Lepisosteus oculatus: one gene and its partner. The protein of the gene in region 1 purifies or fractionates together with the protein of each later gene. This does not show direct contact. Links are inferred from orthologs where the notes say so. Each region holds a gene or a part of one and is shown in the gene's direction. Other genes may lie near its edges.

What was found. The genes of interacting proteins can lie anywhere in the genome.
Region 2: the proteins of fbxw7 (region 1) and kdm6a purify together in Homo sapiens (affinity purification with mass spectrometry; 3 studies listed by BioGRID and IntAct, with this or other methods). This does not show direct contact. The link is inferred for Lepisosteus oculatus from reciprocal best matches to the Homo sapiens genes FBXW7 and KDM6A.

Annotation. Positions count from the first base shown.
Region 1 is NC_090696.1:25,227,656-25,234,583, forward strand, and holds the start of fbxw7 (F-box/WD repeat-containing protein 7), read left to right. Parts: upstream 1-3,918; 5' UTR 3,919-3,933; coding exon 3,934-4,086; intron 4,087-6,928. UniProt on the Homo sapiens protein: Substrate recognition component of a SCF (SKP1-CUL1-F-box protein) E3 ubiquitin-protein ligase complex which mediates the ubiquitination and subsequent proteasomal degradation of target proteins.
Region 2 is NC_090710.1:3,601,576-3,608,580, reverse strand, and holds the start of kdm6a (lysine-specific demethylase 6A), read left to right. Parts: upstream 1-4,005; 5' UTR 4,006-4,370; coding exon 4,371-4,543; intron 4,544-4,725; coding exon 4,726-4,789; intron 4,790-7,005. UniProt on the Homo sapiens protein: Histone demethylase that specifically demethylates 'Lys-27' of histone H3, thereby playing a central role in histone code. Demethylates trimethylated and dimethylated but not monomethylated H3 'Lys-27'.

The DNA of each region.
Region 1 (6,928 bases):
GTCACTGGCCATGTGGGGCGATCCGGTGCGGTATTGCACCCTGCTGATGAGTCAGCGAGCTTGAGAGGTGCCTTTCTCTGTGTAAGCCTATTGCACGGATCTACTCTCTTCTAGCGGTGGTCTCGGTAAAACACAGACTAACCTCGGAGACTGATTCGATGCGGCTGCAGTGGAGGTTTGGATCAATCAAGCTGTTTGTGAAGAAGCAGGAGTGACCGGGGGGCAGGTCGCCCTTCTGTCCGCGCCTCTCCTCACCTCGGCTGGCATCCTGTTTGCCGCGCTCGGCCTGTGATTGATGAGCTCGTAGCTTTGTTGTGCGGCGGTATTAATACCGTCTCCCCGGCCTTCTCCGCGCCACAGACCTGAAATGCATTCCTCACTCTTGCAGGACAGCCTGCTATTAAAATCCTGCGATTGCAGCGGGCTCTGAGCACACATCCTGTGCTGATCGATAATGTATTGGAGAGCTGACACCATGGAAAACAATATTTCTAAATAATGAATAAGGGACCATTTGACCTTGTTTCTCATTCGAGGCTGTGGAATAGGAAAGTTGGGGGGGAAAATTGAGCTGCTAAAGGATGGGTGATGTGCTCAGATTAATTTGGAGTGGTGTTCTAGTTTAAACAGAATATGTTGACAGCATGAGAAGTTGTACTTTCTTTTGACCTGTGTGGGAACACAACTGTGTGTTCAGAATTCATTGCTGTTTCACACAGCAGTTTCTTAAGGCTGCTATGGTTGAAACTGGTAACCTTTTCAGGGTCATTGTGTATTAAACTAGTGACCGCTTGCTTTTTCTTGTGCTTTGGAGACATTAGTAATAGGAAATGCTGTTCAATCAGCTGCTTCTTAGATGGATGGGATTTGAAATAATGTGATATGTTCACAGATCTGTGATCAAATGTTTTTGTGAAAAGGGGTAACAGTCGAGTCCCAGTCATTTCCCAGTTATCTTTAATTATTCCTTGTTCATTCTAAACTAATTTTGAAATTAAAATTAGGCAGTTTTTTAAAAGGATTTTTCAGTTACAGTGATTTTTATTTCCCATGCCCAATTGATCATGGATAAGGTGTCTGTGAGGTATTCCTTAAACTGGTTACCATTTTTTGCTGGGTGTAGACCCCTGTCGTTTTAAATGCACCGAGCAACATAGCACATTTATTCACTTTTATTATAATGCTTCAATACAAATGGTCTCTTAATCCTTTAATAAGAGCATGTGTGATTACTGGATACAGCCTTATTCAAGTACGATCAGTTTTGTTCTCAGTGTGGTCTGGCATAACCTATTTACTGTACTGTTGGTTTACTGTTGGTTTAAATGGTTGTTTGGTAGGGATCTGTACAAGCATATTTGTGTAATATGGACATATGCATTTCATCACTGATACACGTCATGTAATTATTGCCTAAACCACACTCATACTGGCACTATACAGTAGTTTAAAAATTGGAAAGATTCTGATCCTCATGCTTTAGGATTTGAAAAAAAGATTAAGTGGAACCCTTAAAATTCCTTATTATCTTGAAGAGAAAATTCATACTGTGATAAAAAATAATTCGGTTTTTCATGCACAAAGTACTAATTTAAATAAGATGGGCAGGCCTTTAGAAGCTGTCCGAGGTACTGCTACAGTACCTTTAATTTAAGTAACCTGTGTCAGTACTGGATGGAACATAAGGCAGCATCCCTATCTCAAATCCCTGTTTTACATTTGTTGATGGGAATTTCAAAACATTTCTTAAAAATGGACTATAGCATCTCTTTAAAGCACCTTTATTTCTCTGTCAGTCCACTCAAATGGTTAATATACGGTTTCCTTTTTTCATTAAATGTCTGAACAAGGCTGTCATCAGCTTCTTTTGTACACTCTGTTTTATGGTAATAAATCACTCTGAGAGTTCTTGCTTTCAGCGATAGTCTTGCCTCTTTTAGCAGTAAAGCCAAGCGTGTGCTGGATCTAGGATCTGAATGAAGACAGCAGGAATTGAGACAGAGAGGGGCGATCGTTCTTGGCGCAAGTCACCTCCCTTCAAGTCTCCACGCGATCCTGTCAGACTCGGTGCAGCCTGCGAGACAGCATCTTGGATTTAAACGGGAAAGAGACTTTCTGTGCTGTTTACTTGTTTATAGTCCAAATCCCAATCTGCGGCTGCTGTTTACTGCGAGTGGCGTAGGCTGCTGTGTAAATCTCTTGGGACTTCACCAAGAACTCTGACAGATTGAAATCGGAAAAGACAGACAGACACCTCAAGTGTGGAGAGAACGTCCTCTTTGTAGGAGTCAGTAGTAACACTGCTTACCTGGTTGGAACAACTGTTCAATTCAAAGATAAAAGAAAGACCTGTGAGCTCTCCTGTCCTGTGAAAAGCTGCCCTCGTGTTTTTTAGCTTCAGCATCTAGATCTGTCCTTTTACCATGAAACTATTTTAAACAGGCTCCTTGCTGAATGAGAGTACATTGCTATTTATAGACCGCTGGCAAAGTGCCACAACTTGAACCACGATCTTATTTTTCAGCTACTGTGCCTGCTGATGCTCATTTTCTCTGTATTTCCAGTCATTATGTTCGGTGCTTTAAGTCTTTTTATCACTTTATTTGTTTTTGTGACCTTGATGTCGGTATAAATATATGGAAATGGGCATGAGATCGCAGTTTGGAAGAAATGACTTTCTCTGGAGTGTCAAGTTAGACCTCTGATAAGGTGAGCCCCGTGCCTTTCAAGGCTGCTGAGGTGAATTAGCAGGATGCGGAGCAGGAGGAGCAGCTCGGAGCACTTTAGTGGTTAAAGTAATCTGCTTCTGCTTAAGATCTGCGGGTAGCTTGGCTCTTGTTCACTCCGTTTCCTTTTTCTTTGGGTTGTGAGGTTATGCGCTTGTTATTACTGTAAGTAGCAGACATTGTTACTTTGGCTACAAATTGAGCTGCATAATCCTTTTTCTGTTAAAAGGAACATGTGATGCTATGCAGGCAGTTCGGTATTGGGGGTAGCATTTGCTGTCTTGTCACCTGCAAGCTGAGTCGCTTGGCCAGAGTGGCGGGCAATAATGACAAACCGCGGCAGAGAGGAGCCTTGATTTAACTCTTTGTTTGCTGCTTGCTTTTAGCCATCTGATGCTTGCCACTTCGAAGCCCAGGAGGGAGTCAAGTGGCTTGGTTTCCTCGCATGTCATTATGGCTGCTGGGTGATTGACGGGTCCCTGGGAGCGTTAGTGTCATGAAAAGGGCAGCAGGCTTGATTGGCGAGCCGGAGGATTTATCCGGGGCTCCTTATTGCTTTTCAGCATCAGAAGAATGTAGTAGCAGCAGACACAGCAGCAGCTAGGAAGGAGAGGAAACGGCAGCAGCATCAGTAGCTCCTCTGGCTGGGCTTAGAGGGATCTGTAGCCTGGAGGAGGAGTAGAAGGAGAAGGGGTGTGGCTGGGTGCTGGGAAAGGAAGAAGGGAAGTCGGAGTGTGTGGGGAGGGGGGGGTGTGGGGGAAGAAACAGGTTGAATGGATGGAGTACAGTAGCAGCTGAGTGAAGATTGCCAGGAGTAAGGTGAGGTGTGCTGGGCCTCACAGGGAACCCACAGAGCGGTACCTGCCTATGGGGGAAAAACAAAACCTGCCTCTCACCTTGGATCTCAGAACTTCCAAGTTTCACCCAGGGGATAATTCTGCTGCTCGGCAAGGAGAGGTTCTCACTGGGAAGCATCAGGTGTTTTGCTTGCTGTGTGGCATGCTGGCTGGGGGCCAGACGACTGTAGCAGGGGATGTGAGCCGTTCCCAGAAGTGGGGCAGCTGAGGCAGAGAAGCGAGCTTTGGAACTGGGCATCGGCAGCTTAAAGGAGAAAGAAAAGAAATTAGGAAAAGAACTAAAAATAGAAGCAGGAGCCTCGGCAGCGAGCATCCCTTTGACTATTTTCCTTGGAGCAGCACAGCCCCTGATGAGCAAGTCAATGTGCGGCTGTGGCTGCAGCATTATCTCGTCCTTGATGAAGAGGCTGGGCCGCTCCACGTGCTGCTCTGACCTGCTCTCCTGCAGCCACACCTCAGAGCACCTGCAGCGGCTGGCCACCGGATGTCCCAAACAGCCCAAGGTAAAGCCGCAGCAAGCCAGCGTCCGCCACTGTTGCTAAGGGCTCTCATCGCGCGAGTCCCGCTAAAAAAAACAACAACTTTGGGGTTGTGCTGTTTTCGGACACGAGTTTGTTCATTTCGCCATTGTGCTGCGAATATTAAAATAAGGTCGCAATCGGGGAGGACGTATACATGATCGGTTAATGCCTGACCTTGCAGTAACTATCCAATATCATTTTGCCATCATCAGGCAGCGTAGCAATGGAAATGCACTGCAGTAATTGATTTTGTAATGGGATCAGGTGATTTACTGGCTGTCCTGGCAACTGTAGGTTTGCTTTGAACCGGTGAGCGCTCTTAATGGATGCTTTGAGATTTCTAGTGGTCTGCCGCCTCTCTGCTGCTACTCATTGAGAGAAAGGAGTGAGTCTTTTGTCAGAGGGAGAGACGAAATGAAACAAGCTGTCCATTTGTAGCGGGGTTGTTTGATAATTGTCTGCTGCTTTTTGGGTCACCAGCCTGAAAAGGGGCAATTATCAACCAGCCATGATGTCTAGGAAACTGCTCTTCTTGTTAGTGTTGGGGTTTGCATACTCAGCTCCTTGTGCTTCATGAATGATACATTTATGTCTGTGTGCATATGTATGTTGATCTTTCTGAATTGTTATTGTAAATATTCAGAGATTTGACTTTGCCATTCATGATTCAGTGAAAGCTCCAAACAGACTTACCAGAGCAATATGGGAGTGAACATGAAACATATAAGCTAATTAGTATTTAGAGCTGTTAAACGTCTTTCTGTTTACTTTAAAAATAGATTTTCAGGTTTTATAGTCTCTGTTTAGGGCTTCTAAATGTTTTATCATATGGAATATTGACTTTTTGCCCCCTTCCTGGGTGTGGCCAGGATTTGTGTTCTAGAATGAGTGCAAAATTGAATTTCTGAATTTCTTAGTTCATAAGAACTGTGTTTTAACTTGTACGTTTTCCTTTAGCTGTCTGAATTCAGAAGAGATGAATTCATTTTTTTTTTTCAAGCTTAAAAATGTGAATTGTGTTAATCTTGAAAATTTGGCACATGGGTCTTTGGCAGTGAATCAATCCTCTCACCCTACCATCTGAAAAATCGCACCAAAAGAAATCAACTTATGTTTTTTTTAGAAACATAAAGCATATGGGTGTTTGATATTTCCGAAATGTTTTGGTGTTACTTTGATTGTTCACAATTGACTGTGACATAGTTTTTGCTTATTCCTTAGCGTCTGAGGTGTTTGCTATCGGGCATTTATAACCTGGCAAAACACCACAGAGAAGCACAGTCTGTCAACAGTAAGCCGTGATCTTCGAGGCCACTAAACACAATCTGGATCAGGGGGTCCAGCTGTCATGGTCTGAGGAGGACTGTTCACTACAGAGCTCCACTTGTAGTGATTGTTGGCAGTGTGTATGCACGGTGCTGTGGTGATCAAGTTCCTTACTTGCTGCCCTGCTTGTGGGCTCACCCTGACATGACAAGATTGTAACCAGGTGAAGCACCTTCTCATGCTACTAGTGTGCAAATAAGAACGAGACAGTGATGGCATGGATGCCCTACCTGATAGACTTGAGTCCCATTGAATGTTTGTTCAGATGAATTGGGATAGTGAGTGGTAACTAGGGCTCAGAAACAAGAGAAGGGACACGTGCTTGTCCAGGTGGTATAAGAGAAATGGGACACAATCACAGAAGACAGCATCTGCAACCTGCTGCATCATGGATACCCTACTCACCATACAGTAGCCCCACTGAACGTTTGTGGGGTGACCTGGCATCTAGGGTTCAGAGAACAGTGAACAAGCGATCAGTGAACTTGTCGAATCTCAACACAATTCCACAAAACAGCATCTGCAACCTGGCTCTAAAAATGTTGCAGTTTTGTACTGCTTCGTGTGGTGTCCACACGCTATTTGCATGTGACTGTAACTCCTCTGTTGATCAAGCCTGTTGAGGACAAACGTAAACTGAATTTCCAGTACTCATGTCATGTCTGTTCAGTCATGTATCATTGCCTCAAGTCATTCTCCTGATGATGTTCTAGCTCAGCATACATTATTTCACAAAGGTAAAGACTATACATCCAATGGGCAATGTAAACTACACTCTTTTTTATTCTTTATCATCCTTATTCTTAAACATGAAGCCAAAAGAGCTCAAATAAAAAGTGGATTTTGTCTGATTTTTATTAATTTTGATGTCATAAAATCTCCTAAAGATGAATGACCAATGTTTGAAAATGATTGATACCCAATGATTCAAAGACGCAAACTCTAATTAGAAAGTGTAGACTAAATTGTTTTTGCCCCTTTAGAAAATCAGGTTTAGTGTTAACTTACATTTTATGGGACAAAAGCTCTTCATCCAGAGGGAATGAAGAAAAAAAAAGTTAAATAATGAAAGGCTTTTTCACAGAACCCGTCATGTTTACTCATCTAAGTATTAAAACTCTGCATCAGATTGCATCACTTTGTGATACATATTAAATATATTATTTGAAAGTTAGTCTGTCCATTCTCATTGGCATTGTGGTGTCACTCCAGCCAATCAACTCCGCGTCTGTCAGTGCACTTAGGGAGGAATCTCACCTGACTGCTGGAATAAGCAAAGAAAGCAGAAGGGAGATTACACAGCGGATTTGTGAAAGAAACTGAAGGTATTAACAAATTACATTTTAAACTGCTAACTTGTTTCTCTGATTCTGTAGTCTTGGATGTTAGTTTTGTTTTTGTTGATGAAAAATATTTGACATCACCTCTCCACAGTGCATACTGTACTGTACAAATGTATCCCATTTGAACCCGAAGCCCTCTACTTCCCCAGGCTGGA
Region 2 (7,005 bases), on another chromosome or scaffold:
GATTCCTAATACAATAAATTGTATATGGCCAATAAAGTGATCTTATTGTCAACAAAATCTTAACAAGGACATCCATGAATATGATTAGATGTTAATCATGTAACAAAAATCATATTTGACATTATAGGTTGCTTGTCCGACTGTTTGACAGTGTATCACAAGCGAATATGGACCTGGATTCTATTCTCCCACATAGCTCTAAGAACACTTTGCCTAAGCTATTTAAATGACAGGTATGCTGTAATACATGCTCTCGATATGTGCAAAAAAATCAAGAAATATGGAAAACTATGTGCACATAGGTATTAAATTACCTACATGCATCATATAATCTATCTCCTAACATGCCCTTCATTTACAGCAGCACTCCAACAGAAGGAAAAGGACTGATTTTTTTGCATGCTATGTCTACTGTTACCGATACGACCCTGGGGGCGGGGGTGGGAGGGGTTTTTATGTTTGTGAGAGCCCCCCATTGCCAGGGAATCCAATCCAGCTGACAATGAGGTAATGAGCCTGTGTTTAAAGCCGGCCTGAAAGTTGATTTTGATTTCTTGTTGGGCCTATCTACCTCCCTGAGAATGTGGACTACCGCTTGCATAATTAACACAACAACAGCGCTGTGGACCACTGACATTTTGTTCATATATAGAAACGACAACCATGGTTCTTGGACCCTGAGGCCATGTAACTCATAAAGCCTTCAAGGTGGTTTTGTTTGCACAATCTGCTGGACACCTGCAGTGCTTGGTTAACTTCCTGGGCGCCTTGAAAGCAAGGCTGAAAGTGCTTGCCTGAGTGTAAAATGTACTCGACGATTACGGATTATGATTATGGACGATTACGGACCTTGTTCAGGTCACTAGCCGACTGTGACTGGGATTCTGGGCTTATGGTACGGGACAAGAGGAGAGATGAGATGGGAAGGAAACAAAGCAAAAGTGCACCCAGGTGACAAAACTAGGCCATTTTAGGCCTGTGGTTCTTTTCCTTGCCTGTCATGATGTGGGTCATGATTTAATCCCCAGCTGTTGCAGCTTTTAGGACTTGGGGTTCTGAGCCACGGAGAATAATGTCTCTTCTGATTTTCATTCCTTCCAAGTTCTTAATTACAGGCTTATTGATGTGTGTTTTCAACCTGTAGCATTATCTACATTATTAATTTTAACTCTTAAAGGGTCAAATGGGATATATAATTGGTTTCATCCCTGTGTCATTTTCTAAATTACAAAACATCCCTCTCACACAAAACTGGCATAAATCAGTTAGATCTAACTGGATCAGTGCAGAAGAAAGAAACGCTCACTGTGGGCGTTCATCAGCAACTGGTCGACTAGGAAGAGACCTTTAGTAAGAAACAATGTTCTGTGTACTGGAAGTGTTGGAAGCAGCACCCCTTGAGCTAAATAAAAATCTAAACAAGCAGGCAGATCCAATAAATCACCAATCAGCCCCTGATACTTCGAGTTCAACTGGAATATAATACAGAAGAGCGTTCCTCCAGAACCAGGGCTGGGAACCATTGGTTGAGGTATATGTATCATTTTAACACATACATTTTAACACAATCGGCTGTTCTCACATGTAATAAGTGATTAAGATTTCCATTTGTTTAGAGCTCAGCAAAGACCTCTACCTATTTTCCATATAAAAAATTAATCTATATGTTGATGGACCTATAACACACGCAATTGATTTTACATAGATGTTCACACTGCTGCAGTTCTCCTTCTTAATATTTGGATTCTAGTACACAAGAAAAATACTCAAGGTGAATTTTATTTTTCTTAAAAAAAAGGGTGGCAAATGTTTATTTAGAGAAAATCACTCAATAAAGTCAAAAATAATAACAGGCAAGTTGAAGAGTGTTCTGCTTTCTGAAAGTATTGGAAACAAGTTAAAGAATTTCTATACTGCAGAAAGAATTCCTAGAGTATTGATTAATCTTAGTATAACTGAGAATGAGGTATTGCTGCAAGCGGAATGACTACAATTTTTCACTTCCTCTCGGCCTGACTATTTTCCCAGTAGTTCTTTAGAAAAAGTGTCTGGATTGTTTCATAGACCTTTTACCAGTATAATTCACGTCATTAAGAATCGCACCAATTTCAGAATTGCAAATGTAACACCAATGCATAAAAAGCGGGACAAAATTAAACTAGGAAACTATAAGTCAATCAGTCTTATTTATGTTGCTGGCAATGTTACAGAAATGATAGCTGGAACTGAACTAAAAGAATTATTTAAAACATTTGCATTTTAAGAGACAGCCAACATGGATTTAGATGAAAGCCTCATTTAATTTACCAGCGACAAGGACAGTTGATCCACTATTGAAACCACTATAGAAAATGACATATTTAGACTACCAGAAAGTATTTGACAAGGTCGCTCATTAAAAGCTTTATTAAAAAAAACTCAATGTAAAAAAACGCACATAGATTGAAACTGGTTTAACAAACAAGAATTCTTATGCATTTATCCATCCTAAAATGCATAACCTATGAAAGGGGCTGATATTTATTTTTTATGATTTGTATAAGCAATTTGGATTTTGATATTAGCTAACAAAACAGTTAATGGTTGCATGACACAAAAACACAAGTGGCAAACACACAAACAGCAGCAAGAGAAGTACCAAGGGTTAAAAAAAATGGATTGGATTTTATGAAATTTAAAAGTAACATTGAAGCACAAACATTTACTATGCATGTACATCCCACATGGGTGATTTGGAGCTGCAGGGAGTTACACAAAAGAAGCATCTGGTTGTTTATGTGAATTATTTTTCAGCTACATCAAAATAACATGAGGAAGCAAAGAAAAGTTAATGGAATACTTGGGGTGCATAGGAAAAAGTGTGGGATTCAAACAGTGTAATTATGAACCATCTTTAAAATTCTTTAGTAAGACATCTACAATATTCTAGCTCCTAGAGGCAATTTGCTACAAGTATACAAAACGCCAAGGGGTTTAGATAAGACTATTTTTCAGGTATTAACAAAACCAGATCACAGTTGAAAAAAAAAGGAATGTATTGAGAGGAAAACAGGACCCATTTCTCCAAACTTGTGTCCAGAGCATATGCTCTCCATCCTTTTGTTGAGAACAAAAGTTATGCCTTTTGAAAATAAGATCTCAAACAAGGATGGACACAACGGCCACCTCTTGCTTGCAGCTGTGCGTACAAAGCACCATATTTCACTTTACTGTTTCTTTACGAGTTTCACACACTCACGTTTTACGCTGCCTTTTGCTCAGAAAGGGATGAATTTCCAAGTTACACATTACAGATTGCTTTACTAATATCGACGGCACCTTCAGTTTAAAAAAACTCATTTTAAATCGCAATCTGTGTGGGAACCATGAAAACGAACGACCCCCCCCCCCCCCCACAAACAAAAATGGGTAAAACAAGATAATGGCGTTTTTGTTATAGTGAAAAAAGGGTTTCTAACTGCACAACCGCAGTTTGGCACTTCCCCCTAACCGAGCATTTTACTGAATCAATAACCAAGAAATAACTTCGCCTTTTACACCGAGCATTTTACTAAATCACGAACCAAGAAATAACTTCGCCTTTTACCATCACAACCAGCGCACCTCAAACTATCTACGCTGTAACCAAAAAATGGGGCACAGTCATCGCAATTACTCGTATATGTAGCTGGACCTACTAACCTGCTGTATAATTAAGGCCGCCTTTTGCAATACCACACGGAAAATGGCAGGACTCTCATCCAATCGTGGCATCGGAAAGGTAAAACGTCACCCTATTGAATGGACTGCCCACCAATCCATGCGAGAGGGCAGAACGAGCGAAGTTGTGTGTGTTTTTTCTATCCTTGCCGTTTTGTAAGTTTGTATGAGAGGCGCGGAGCTCCAGAGAAAGGAACCCCAAGACATCCACAGACAAGGCTGGTCACATGACGCGGCGGGCGCTCCTCATTGGCTGCGGCAGGCAGAGGGGAGGGCGTACCGACGGCGGCGGCGTGGGTTCGCCTGTGTGACACAATTACAACAACTTTGAGCTGGTGGTTTGGGGGGAAGTTTGTGATATTAACCAAATAACACCCCGTTTTGAAAAACCCCGCATTCATAGCACTCCATGCACAACAACGCTCTCGGTTGCATACAGATATTTTTTGTATAAAACAATGTAAAAAAAAAAAGAAGACCATTTTGGAGGGTTTCTTTTTTTTTTTTTTGCTCTCCTGTAAAAAGGATTTACTGTTTATTTTTTTTTTTTTGCATTTTTTTTTTTCAATCCTGGAAATAAAAAAGTTGGTTTTCCCTCTCCCGATTTTTTTTGGCTTCGCTGTTTTGTTTTGGTGGAGGTTTTTCGTTGGCTGCCCCCCCGGTGCGTTCCCATGAAATCGTGCGGAGTGTCGCTCGCCGCCGCCGCCTGCGCTGCTGCTCGAAGTCTCGGCGCTACTGCTGGTGATGAGGAAAAGAAAATGGCGGCGGGAAAAGCGATTGAAACCGAAGAGGACTTTCCGAGGCTGACAGCGCAGGAGAGGGACACCCTGGCCGGGATAGACAGGTCAGAAAAGGGCGCGGTGCGGGGAAAATGCCGCTTTTTCTCTTCTTCCTGGCGTTCCGCGGTGGTGGTGGTCTTCTTTTCCCCCCCCAAAAAAACGAGTGAATTTAAACCCGCTTGGTTATTTTTTGCAAAACCTCCCGAGTTAACGCGGAGCCGCCTGTGTGTTGTTTTCTGTTTTACAGCCGGCTGTTTGGATTTCAGAGGCTTCATGAAGATGGCGCCAGAACGAAGGCCTTGCTATTAAAGGTATTTGAAGAATATCGGACCCGAGAAGGCCTTCCCCCCCTTAAACTCCCGTTAGTGCATTTTGTACCTGGGAGGCACCTAGTTTAAAGCGCTTTAAGAGAAAAGAGGTCGACCTCATGGCGATGCGCCCCCCGTGCATTAAAAATTGGTGTGTTTTGCACCCTCTCCCCAGTCTTGCACATTTGCAGAGCTGTGGGAGATCGGGAGTGGGACTCTTATTTTGGGGCATTTAATTTTTCAGGGTAGCAATGTTTGCAGCGGTGACGTTGTTAGTGTTATTGTGCGTGTGTGTTTTTAACATGGAAAAGTAGTGACTACATCAGGACCTTCGTGCATCTCACCAGGCTGCGCGGTTCCGTTTCCCTGTTTTTTTTTTGGGGAGGGGGACAGTTTTGGCAAACTGGTCCTCGGATGTTGATGTAGGATCTGTAAAAATGGGTCAGTCATATTTGGGAGCCACGTCCAGTTTGTGGCGATATTACGGATTGTTAGATGGCTGTGCGGTTTAGATTGCAGTTGGATTTGTGTTATTGAACCTGAATTCGCGACGAGGGGAATTAGGATCTTTATTTTAAATCCTTTCACCGCCCCCCCCCCCATGACTTTAGCTCAAGCTAAAAGCAGAAATTGTTGCGGTTATTTGGTGCTTTCCAGCAGTTGCGTTCCCTGGATGTTATTTACATGGCCGTGTCGTGCAGTTAGCTGTACCCGCCACCCAGCCGTGCCTGTCGTCGCGGTTTGCTTGACAGTAAATAAGTAAAAACTTGTTGACCGTGTTCGTGTGGAAGGGATGCTGTCTTACGAGGGGGGGAGAGGGGGTTTGCGACGAAGTTGTTGGTTCTGTTTTTAAACATAGTTAGTAATGGCTGCTTGAATCGGCCCAAGATGGCGGGACGGGGAGGAGAAAAAAGTGAGAGAGAAATAGAGGCAGGGGAGCTAAATTATCGAATATATCAAGCCTGTTGAGAGACATTGGGCGGCGAGTTCGGTTTCTCTCCGTTTATTTTTATACTTTTTACGTCGTTTTCACCCACGGTATTTTGCGTTTTATTTACAAAAAAAAAAACCCCGACGGGGACGGCTTGCTTGTGTGCTGCGTTTGCTGTGCGCGTGCCACCCCCTGCTCTCGGCACCTATCGCATCATCAACCTGTAGCACATTGGACACCGAACAAAGGCTACCGGGGGGTCCGTTTTTGGAGGTTCCCATTTTTTCCTCACTCTAAAAGAATGCACGATGCAGGTGCACAGTTTTTGCAAACCCCCCCCCCCCCCCAGTCTGTTTCACTCGTCTGTTGAGTCGTGCTCAGGAGGTCTGGAAGGTCTGGGCCTCTTTCGTGTGCCATGATATTATATTCTTCGGGGTGAGGGTGCCTTAAGTGTAGACCCAATTATTCATGAGGCAGGGCAACTTCAGTTTTTTTTTCCCCCGCGCAGGCTGTAACCAATGCGGTTAACGTTTAGTTTCGCTATGCACCAATACTGGCACGTATGGTGCGACTGAACCAGTTTTGAAATTCGTGGACTTGTGTGTGAGAAATACGCTCTTGTAGGATTTGTCCTCATGCCCCGATATGTAAATTAAAAGGCGTCGGTGGTGCTCGAAGCCATTGTTTTTAACTACGGATTGTGTTTCCAGTTTTAGGGTTGTATTAACGATGCACACTAATTCTAGTCAGAGTAGGATATCACTTCCGTATTTGGGAATCTATAAACGAAACGGAAGGATAAACATTAGGGGAAAGATGGGCGTCATTTAGTCACACAAATGTCCCTTTTATCGAATTGTTGTTTTGTTGCGTGTTTGTGCTTGAACGCCAAGCCTTTGGATTAGCTTTGGTGAACGTTCACTTTAAATGAGCCCAGAATTTGGGGTTTTATTTCCAGGTACAATTTTGCCATGTTGTTACTTTTGCTGTCTTGGTGAAAATAACCTCGCAGGTTTTATGGTTTCAAAAAAGATGTGTGGATGAGGCAGCAAAACCTTACTGCAGAACAGTGCGAACACGTTGGTAGAAAATTATTGCTGTTTGACCAGGAGTGTCTCTTCATAGCACATTGAGGTCCTGGGCGCCTGGAAAGTGTTGATTCTCTTACTGTGTGTAGTTTTCATTAAAAGTTTTAAATGTAAAACTACTGCTACAGTGGTCTTTATGAATCATTGGTAGGCCACCAAATGTCTGTGTTAGTCTTAAGCAATAGGGAGGATGGGATTAC